Linked DNA regions of Arabidopsis thaliana. The protein of the gene in region 1 interacts with the protein of each later gene in a pairwise test. Each region holds a gene or a part of one and is shown on either strand. Other genes may lie near its edges. The genes, in order: MEE18 and AT2G24860.

Region 1 (5,360 bases):
GAGCCAACACTGGGCTATGCGTGGTATGTGTTTTATATATAGTATATATTACATTATAGTTATTGTAAATACCATTAAATTAAAGTAGCTAGAACATCAGCACTTTTTTGGTTTCTTGACTGACAAGTATCATATTGATTTTCTTGGCAGCTTCAAAATTCCCAGAGAGTTTCACTCAAGCACAAGGTGGTGATGATTGTTATGAAAATTATGGTGATGGTGCTGATGGTATTGATGATGATGATTATGATGAAGAGAATAGTGTAAGTTTGAAGCACTTTTCCCATTTTCATATCAAAGCTCATTAACTAGAATAAGTAAATCACCATGGATTTTGTATAACGGAATTTTGGTAAATTTAATTAGTTGCTACTTTGTTTATTGTCTCTGACTGAATCTTTCTGATATAGGAATCGAGTTTGAAGTGGAACTGTGACTATCAGCTGTTAAAGAGTGGCTACTTGTCTTTCGATGAAGAAGAAGAAGAGGATAATGACGATGAAGAAGATGTTGACATTTTCTCCGAAGATAGTGATGATTCATGGAATGAGGATTTTGATGATGAAGATGAAGAAGCGGATACTACAGTTTTTAAATATTCCGAAAACATGTCGGAGCTTGATTTGGGATCAGCGACGAATTATACCCCTAGTTCCTACGATCATCGTAATGAAAAAGATAGTGTAAGTTTTTGTGTAGCAGTTTTTTTCACATTTTTATACCTATGCTCATACAAAAACTAGGAAAATGATCATCTATGAAATGTTGTTATTTTAATCAGTTGCTGATTTGGTTATTGTATTTGTGATTAGGGTTCAAGTTTGACGTGGAAAGGTGGTTATCAGCAGTTATATAATGTTGACACGTCTTCCGACGAAGAAGATGAAGAATCATGCGATGAGGAGGATGATGAAGCTGGGGAATATCACTCTGAAGAAGCGATGGAGATGTCGCGCGAGCAGAGAATGAGCGAGCTAAGGAAAGTGCTTCATGACGATGAAGATGACGTATCACAAGGATTTGTGAATGTGAGGCGAGAGACAATTGCGAAGAATACGGAATTTGGTGAGGTCGAGACCCTTTTACCAGATGGTGATTGGGTTTATGTGAAGAGTGCTTAGGGCTCTGATCTTTTGGCAAAAAATGTGTGTGATTTGATCGAGTTTATACTTTACATCGGCTTTAATGATATTTATTTGTGTAGTTTTTTGAGTGTTTCATTCGTTTTTCACAAGGCTTATGTCACTCTATTAACTTGGGGTTTAATACCAAATAGTGTACTTTTTCTTATCATTATTGTTTGTCTTCTTTGCCATTCGATCATGTGATCTTTTAGATTATCTTAAGGTACCTTTCCAGTGGAATCATCGACATTTGGTCTATACATGTATTTTGAGCTCAAACACTAATGCAAAACCACAATCCCACCAAAATCGATTTAACACTAGTTTTGGTTTATTGGACCAAACCAAGTAGAAAACCAACAAAACCACCAGTACCGTGATTATTTTCTTTTCTAACGCGTAATAAATATCTTTTATGGCTTTATTATGCACTCTCATTGCGAAAAAAGAAAAATCCAAAGGCTTGGAAAATCGACAAAAACGAAAAGGGTAGTGGTGAGATGTTTCATCATTCTCTGTTTCAGTTCGGTAATGGCGGAGATTTGCTATTTTGGGGGTCTAGTCCATTATAAATCACCATCTCTTCCTTTGTCTCTTCATTCTCTCTTCCGCAGCAAGAAGCCACATTACTACAATTCCACTTCTCTCATGGCTGAATGTCTCTCCTCCTCCACCGTGGAGCCTCCTTCTCTCCTCGTCTTCTCAGGTTCCACTTTCTTCCTCTTCCTTGTTTCGTGGGTCTCCCTAAAGTTACGATTTTTATGTCGATAAGATCGTCTATTTGTGTTAGATCTTGACCAATTACTTAGAATTTGACATTTGTTAATTCTGTTTGTTGCAAAGTGCAAAGCTTTATCATTGTCTTACATTGGTTTAGGTAGTTTTCTTTTGCTCTGAATTTTGGAAAACGTTATATTTGTTGCTATGAAGGTGGTACTGGATTTAATGGTGTGGTTGAAGAGTTGAAGAAGTTAACAACACGAGTCGCTCATGTTCTTCCTGTCTCTGATGATGGTGGAAGTACTGCTGAGATTGTTCGTGTTCTCGGTAAGTTTTAGAACTCACTAACATTGCTACAAGACCCAGATTATATATGTTTTAGCTTCTTTAAGTTTTTACCAGAAGTAATCTAAGCTCAATATCTCCGTTGCTATAGGAGGGCCAGCGGTTGGTGATATACGTTCGAGGTGTTTAAGGCTGTCTGATGAGAGTACTTCAGAGGCACTTGCTGTTAGGCGGTTGCTTGGCCATCGCTTACCTATTGATGCACATCAGGCCAAGAAAGATTGGTAATTTATCCAATGACTATGTTTTCTTTATGCACATAGTGTGGTCTACTCTATAAGCTACACATTTAAGGTTCTGTGGTGGACAATATTGTGTAATATACCATTGGCTGAGTTGGAACTTTGACAGGTACGATATTGTAGAAGGTAATCATTCTCTGTGGGATGGTGTATCAAGACCCTACAGTGAAACAATTCGCGCTTTCTTGATATACTTTCAGAATGAGGTAATGTTAACTGATACAGAGAAACATGTTTTTATTGGTTTCATATTTGATCAGTTCCAAGTTCCAACTTCTTGATTGTTTAAATTTTTCTTTACCTTAATATTCTGTCATTTCTTACTTGACATGTTTCTTATGATACAGATTCATAGGCGACCTAATGAGAGATTTTGCTTCAGTAATGGAAGGTATTGAAGATCTTTTTCTCGGCTTCAACTGTGTATTATTTTGTTCGCCTGTTTAGTAACTCACTTATGATTGTTTCCTTCTTGTAGCATTGGGAACTTCTTCTTTGCAGGAGCAAGGATATTTTTCCAGTCTTTAGATGCTGCAATTTTTCTGTTTTCACGTGTTTCAGAGATTCCTTGTGACAGTTTGGTCCTCCCAGTGATATCAACCAATGATAGGCTAACACTAGGATGTGAATTACAGGTATGAAGCTTGATCTCTATTTGAATTCCCGCAGCTAGCTTATGGAATCCCATTCTTGTCCACAAATATCGCAGCTAAAGCATCATTATTTGCGGGAAGAAGTATCGCTTTCTATACATAAATCTTGGCTGTCGCTTCACTGGCCATCTTCTTGGTTTAAACAATTAATGGCAAGATTGAGGTGGCAAATTTGTTCGCAAACTAACAAGTTATGACTTTAATTTGTAGGATGGGACTATAATACGCGGACAGAACGAAATTTCTCACCCGACCACTGGGACTACGCAGACAGTTGACAAGGTGTTCTATTTGAATATCTTACATTGGTGTTTTTTGATGATCACGAGAACTAAGTTTACTATATACTTGTATCAATTAAAAATGTCAATTTTGCCATATGTAGAATTTATTTTCTTACATTGTCTTTCTATGTTTCTAGTAGAGACATTGTTCTACTTCCGCTCTCCCATCGAAGATAAAGAGAGTGTTTTACATGTCAAGTGAAGGCAATAATCTGCTTCATGAGGTTAACTACTCTGCTTTTATATATACAGAATGTCCTAGATATCTTCAATGTTATCTCTAATGATTCTGATTCCCTTTAAGAAACTCTATCGTTTTAGTTCTCTACTTCATTTCTTTGTTTTGCACGGTGTATTTGACATTGCAAATGTTTGGTGTTATGTCCATTAAACAGGTCTTCCCACCAGTTAACCCAACTGTCCTAGAGCAGTTGAGAAGCGTGGACTGTATCGTTTACGCAATGGGATCCCTGTTCACTTCCATTTGCCCATCACTGGTTAGCACCCGCAATAAATATGTTGTGCAAAAATGGTGGATTACTAAATTTGTGATAACTGTTATAGACAAGTCTTTCTGTTCATCAGGTTTTGCTTGGTGTTGGGGAGATTATCTCTTCCAGGTCATGTCGTAAGGTATGCTGAAGCTTGTCAAAAATACTAATGATGGTAAAAATCAATCTGATTTCTTCTCTCTGTCACAGGTACTTCTTTTGAACGGTAGCCAAGACCGAGAAACAAGCAGGTTCACCGCTTCCTGCTTTGTGACTGCTATCGCTGACGCTCTCAACAGAACTCATGGAGATACTAATATTCGGCTCAAGAATCCCGTGAGTGGTTCTTCACAATCCACACTCTTTCGATGTCTTCTTTATCAGACATATATCGATATCCAAGAACATCATTTTTGTGTGCAGCCTGGATATTACATCAACACTCTCTTGGTCCCGAAAGATGGAGAAATAGCAGTAGATCTCAAACAATTGTCTGAACAAGGGATATATGATGTTGTCAGTATCTCTTTCCTTCACTTGTTTCCAAGTTTATGTGCACAACAAACACTCACTGTTACCTCCACTCTATTGCAGAGAGTCGTGGAGAGTGTTGGTGACCCGAAGCACGGTATCTTGTTCAACCCGAGCTCACTGATAAACACACTGGCCGGTTTGGTGGAGTAAATAGTGATTCTTTAGGCCAGAGCTAGTTTCTTCTTCTACGCAATTGGGACCATGATTTTTTTGTTACTGTTTAGTTTGATCCTTTAGTGAATTGATATGAAAGGTTATGAATGGTCAATGATCATATTCTTAGCTAAGGAAAGACAAACGCCTCTCTTTCTCTCGGAGTTGTATCATATGTTTTTTCTTACACGTTTTACATATAACTACTGTACAGATGAATACAGTTCACTTTCCAATGAAACCAAATGATGACATTTCTACATAACTATGTGTGCTTTTCATTCCCAAACAAGCAAAGGCATCTTTGTTTCTCACTGTGTATTAACATGTGTGCTTTTACTAAAAAGATGTATTAAAGCAAAGCAAATGATGCCAGCAACAAACAGAGCGTGCCCTGAGATTGGTAGGGCCCTAAGCCCATACAACTTTGTTGGCCCTTTCAGTTAAGTTTAGAAAAGAATCACTTGTTCAATAACCAATGTTAATTGTTGAAAGATGAATTTAACCGAAGATTTCTTTACAAGTTTTTGACACAGTGATCATAATTTTATAATGCTCACAAGTAGCAGTACGTGACTCTTGTAAGTCAAGTAGAGAGACATAAATATACCAAAATATTAAACTTGTATGATGACAATGACGCATCCATTTGAGCCCATGCTTCATTGCTCCTCCATTCAGTGATTGGGCAGACATATAATATGTATTGTTTTAGACACTTTGTTTCTAGTCATTCGTTGCGGAAATGACAAACAAATCAACTTTTTAACAGAATTTATTACAAAAATATGTAAAGTACACGCCAAAAGAAAAA
Region 2 (4,417 bases), 3.8 Mb from region 1:
ATCATAAAAACTAGTCACAATGGCTATTACGAGAGGCTATTTAAAGGACAATTTCGATTATAAATCCAAAATGTAATTCAAATCCGAATTGTAATCATAAGAAATCCTAATTGTAATCAAAATTTTATCCAAAATCTATCCGTTTCACCCAAAATCAAAGAAAAAAGGATCAAACCATCAAATCTAATATGAAATAAAATCCTAATTAAATACAACACAATCAATAGAATGAAACCTTAAATAAAATCCTAATTAAACACAACACAATCAATAGAGTGAATTAAAATCTTAATTAAACACAACACAACATAATGGTTGGATCGTAAATAAGTGAAAACCCCTTGTTTTATTTGTCTTTTACTATTTTTTGGAGAAAAAAAACTAGATAAACATATTTTTTTTTTTATAATGGGAGCTAAATAGAGAATGTTTTAACCCGAGAGGCCCGAGTAGATTAAAATCCGAATTCAACCTTTTCGGCCAAGAAGAAGAAGAAGGAAATGGCGATTTGCATGTGTTGCGATTCACATCTTGTAAAAAAATCGATTATGAATCCATGGAATTTGCGGAGTAGAACGAAACTAGGGTTTGTACTGGTCGTTTGCCGTTTTCCGACTACTACTACTTTCAAGGCTTCGGCGGTGGATTCACCTGAGAGTTCTTTAAATTTCACCAAGCATATGGATCAAGCTTGGATAATCTCACAGGTTCGTATCTTTCGAGAGTTGTTGAGTTTGTTGAATTTGAGTAATCACAAGAACGTTATTACAAGAACAAAATGTATAAACCTAATTTAGTTTGTCTTTCTCTACTTAGTTGTTTATTGTACTTTACAAATTGTCTATTACTTTTAAAAACAAATACTTTATTTACTAATAGGTTACATAGATAGTATGATATGATTTATAGAATAACCAGTTTATTATTGAGGATTTTTTTATGCACAATTGAATTTCTTAGTTATCATTTGATCTTTCACATAAGGTTTAATATTATCTACAACTGGTTACTTGATTTTATCATTTTTTTCATAATTCAATATTAATAGATTTATGTATATCTAATATGATTATTATAAGATATTATGCCATTTTACATACTATGCCAACAATAGTAATACAAATGTGTGCATATATAAAATCTGAAACACAAAAGCCAATAACAAAGCAAAAATCTAAATATCTACCCAAAAAAAATGAAAAACTGTTTAGTCTTTTTTATTCGTTTTTAGTTTTTGCATGCTTGACCATGTATTCGGCTCTGGAATCAGGATCACCAACGAACTCAAATTCAATAAACTTCTCAGGATTGGATGTTATTCCAAAGATGACAAATTTGGTCCAAAAACAATACCAATCGGCAAACATGTTGAAATCAATTTTATGATTAATTTTTGGCGTACGACGCGTTTTATGTGTCATTTGGAACAAGGACCTAACTATAAACATTATCAGAAATTTACAGCATTCAAGCTTTCTGGTTTTATGGATGAAGGAGGTATATGGGACTGGAGAGCAAGAGAAGATGGAATCTATTTAGACAAAGAAGGCGGCAAACATATTGGAAAATCGATTAATATGCATAAAAGTGTATGATTGGTTAAATTAAAAATATTTAACAATCTATGTAAGAACAAAAAAAAATGTTATATTATCATCTTAAAACTAGTAAATTTATACATAGAAAAAAATTATTTTCTCAATCATATAAGCAAACCAAAAACAAACAAGCAATCTGGATTTTGTTTTGACTGTAGGAAGAATCCAAGGAATTGTAGAGGAGATAATGAGTTGGTTTAAATCATTGAATCAATCATTTTAGCAAACAAAAAGATCCAACTTTAATGGGCCCAGGGTCCAATAACCCAATTGGGTTATTCCTAGACTTTTCTCCTCCTCCTGTTGTCTTCCAATTTGGTATGCGAGAAAAATAAAATAAAATAAAAATAAGCCAAAGACAAATTTAAACCTCCGATTTCAACCTTCTCGGCGAAGAAGAAGAAGAAGAAGAGAAAATGACGATTTGCATGTGTTGCGATTCACATCTCGTAGCGAAATCGATTCTAAATCCATGGAATTCTCCTAGGATAACGAAGCTAGGTTTCGTACCAGTCGTTCGCCGTTTTCCAGCTACTACTACCGTCAAGGCTTCGGCGGTGGATTCACCTGAGAGTTCTTCAAATTTCGCCAAGCGTATGGATCAAGCTTGGATTATCTCACAGGTTCGTATCTCCAGAGAGTTGTTGATGTGTATAATTTTGTTGAATCTGAGTAATCACAAGAACTGATCCTTGATGTAGTCATGTACGAGTGAAGAGCTATATGCAATTTTGTATGAGATTAAGAACTTGGATCTGTGATGAAATGTTGTAAATTTCAGATTATGAGGTGAATAGTATCAGCAAGTTTCAAAAGGATTTGTATCGAAAATCTGTAATTGCAAAGTACCTTTTAGTTGGTTTCTAGCAAAAAATGTTTGTTCACAATTCATTTGATTTGTGCATATGATGAGAACATGTTAGCTACTTAATCAGGTTGTAGCTGTTCTCTATGATCCCTGAGTGATGAGGCTTAAGCAGGCTTATCTCGCAACGCAATGTAGTTTTGTAGCTTTGCATGTACAATTGTTGGATTCTCTGCTTTTTCTCTAATATTGCTCTTAGAGAATCTATCAAAAGTTCAGACTTTGAAGCCTTTCTTCTAGCACTTGCAATTTGATATTGAGCTCGTGTGAATTTTCTAGATGTTACTTGTTGACCTGTGTTTCGATTCAATGATTTTCTTTGTCTGTTTTTTTCTTCACTGCAGCAACCAAGTCCTGTTGGATGTTCATCGTGCAATTCAAAGGGTCATGTGGAATGCAAATGGTGTGCGGGTACAGGATTCTTCATCCTTGGTGATAACATGCTTTGCCAGGTTCCCTCAAGGAATACTTCATGTGTAATCTGCTCTGGACAGGTTTGTTATCTAATAAAAACGAAAGTGCAGACACATTATTGTGTCTTCTTGTTTATATATCTTCCCAAGTATGAACAAATTCGATTCTTTCAATGGTTTTAGGGTTCTGCTAGCTGTAGCGATTGCAAAGGAACGGGGTTTCGTGCCAAGTGGTTGGAAAAACCTCCAGTGCCAACATAACTGATGAACAAAAGCAAGTTAAGCTTTTTGGTCTTTGATGATTTCTTATGGAGGAAAAATGTTTATATATTGATTCAAGTGGAACATGAATCAGATATGCATATATCTTTATACATGTGTTAAGTATATATATGTAAGTTCATTTATTCATTTCCCCTTGTTCTGTCTGTACAACCAAAGGCCTACACAAGAGTTCTTGTAATCGACACGTGAGTTTTACGATTTCGATCATTGGAGTAGCTCAACGGAAGAACATTAGTAGCACAGGGTCACCTTCGTATTTCTTTTGATATTTTCTCGTTGTAGGGTTAAATCATGTGCATCTTCCTTACCCTTGATGAATCTGGATATGGCGTTTCTCTAATAGAATTGCGATTATCATCATCTTAGATACAGTTTGTGCCTAACAAATCCAACCTAAGCTAGTTACTTAATCATTTTCTTTTGGGGAAGTGAAAATGGCATTTGATTTCAGGATAATTCTTAACCAAAGCTGCTAAGTGAAGAACTTGTGTCAGTGTGCATTCCATTTCCCAAGTGATGAGGAAATCTTCAAAAGTGTTCATGTCTAGAGTGTAAGAGGGCACTCGAACACAGTGGTTCGCCGTTTCCTCCATTATATATACCTCTACTTTGCCCCTTTTAGTTTTACTTGTCACAAAACTTTCCAGATACATATTTACTGCACAAAAACTAAATTATTTTGAGTAAAAATTACCAACGCACCAGCAGGTTATTTTTTTTTATTTTTTTTACGGTGTATTGAAGAAAATTTCAAAACTACATAATCGTAAATAAGAGTTTTATTAAATTTTACACAATTAGATGCATTTTTTCATCTGATCCAACTTTCTATATCTCTTCTTTTTTGTGAAACTGTATTTTTAGAAAAATAATGTGTTTTTGACGGAAAATTTGGTGGATTGATTTGGGTTAACCCCTTTTGACACCCCTTAGTTCCACTAATAGTTTTTTTATCCTACACATAAATTTCTATAAACTTTTGTAATCAGATATAGTCACATACATATGGTAGTAAGAATTAACTAATAGGCTATATCTGAAAATGGAAAATGGAAACCGTCTTTTTAATAATGAGCTCAACAAGAGGATTTTCTAGATGCTTGATATAATCGAAATATTGAATACACCTAATGGCTTCAGAAAATATAATATTGTTTCTAGTTCTCATAATGTATGTTCTTGGAAGCCCAAAAAGAAAATTAAAAAAGATCTTCTCCATGATCTCCTCTTTAATTATTGTAAATGAGGTATTATAC

Evidence for each region.
Region 2: the proteins of MEE18 (region 1) and AT2G24860 interact in a two-hybrid assay, tested with the Arabidopsis thaliana proteins (one large-scale study listed by BioGRID).

Annotation. Positions count from the first base shown.
Region 1 is NC_003071.7:14,395,466-14,400,825, reverse strand, and holds MEE18 (maternal effect embryo arrest 18), read left to right. Parts: upstream 1-1,550; coding exon 1,551-1,830; intron 1,831-2,054; coding exon 2,055-2,171; intron 2,172-2,280; coding exon 2,281-2,413; intron 2,414-2,525; coding exon of another isoform or gene 2,526-2,540; coding exon 2,541-2,637; intron 2,638-2,778; coding exon 2,779-2,822; intron 2,823-2,909; coding exon 2,910-3,066; intron 3,067-3,294; coding exon 3,295-3,366; intron 3,367-3,508; coding exon 3,509-3,592; intron 3,593-3,763; coding exon 3,764-3,865; intron 3,866-3,953; coding exon 3,954-4,001; intron 4,002-4,069; coding exon 4,070-4,195; coding exon of another isoform or gene 4,196-4,282; coding exon 4,283-4,543; downstream 4,544-5,360. Other genes in the region: AT2G34100 (nonsense-mediated mRNA decay-like protein), read left to right, coding at 1-23, 151-263, 411-683, 813-1,121.
Region 2 is NC_003071.7:10,585,838-10,590,254, reverse strand, and holds AT2G24860 (DnaJ/Hsp40 cysteine-rich domain superfamily protein), read left to right. Parts: upstream 1-1,838; 5' UTR 1,839-2,014; coding exon 2,015-2,221; intron 2,222-2,807; coding exon 2,808-2,957; intron 2,958-3,059; coding exon 3,060-3,137; 3' UTR 3,138-3,612; downstream 3,613-4,417. Other genes in the region: AT2G24870 (Plant self-incompatibility protein S1 family), read left to right, coding at 681-707, 1,455-1,595.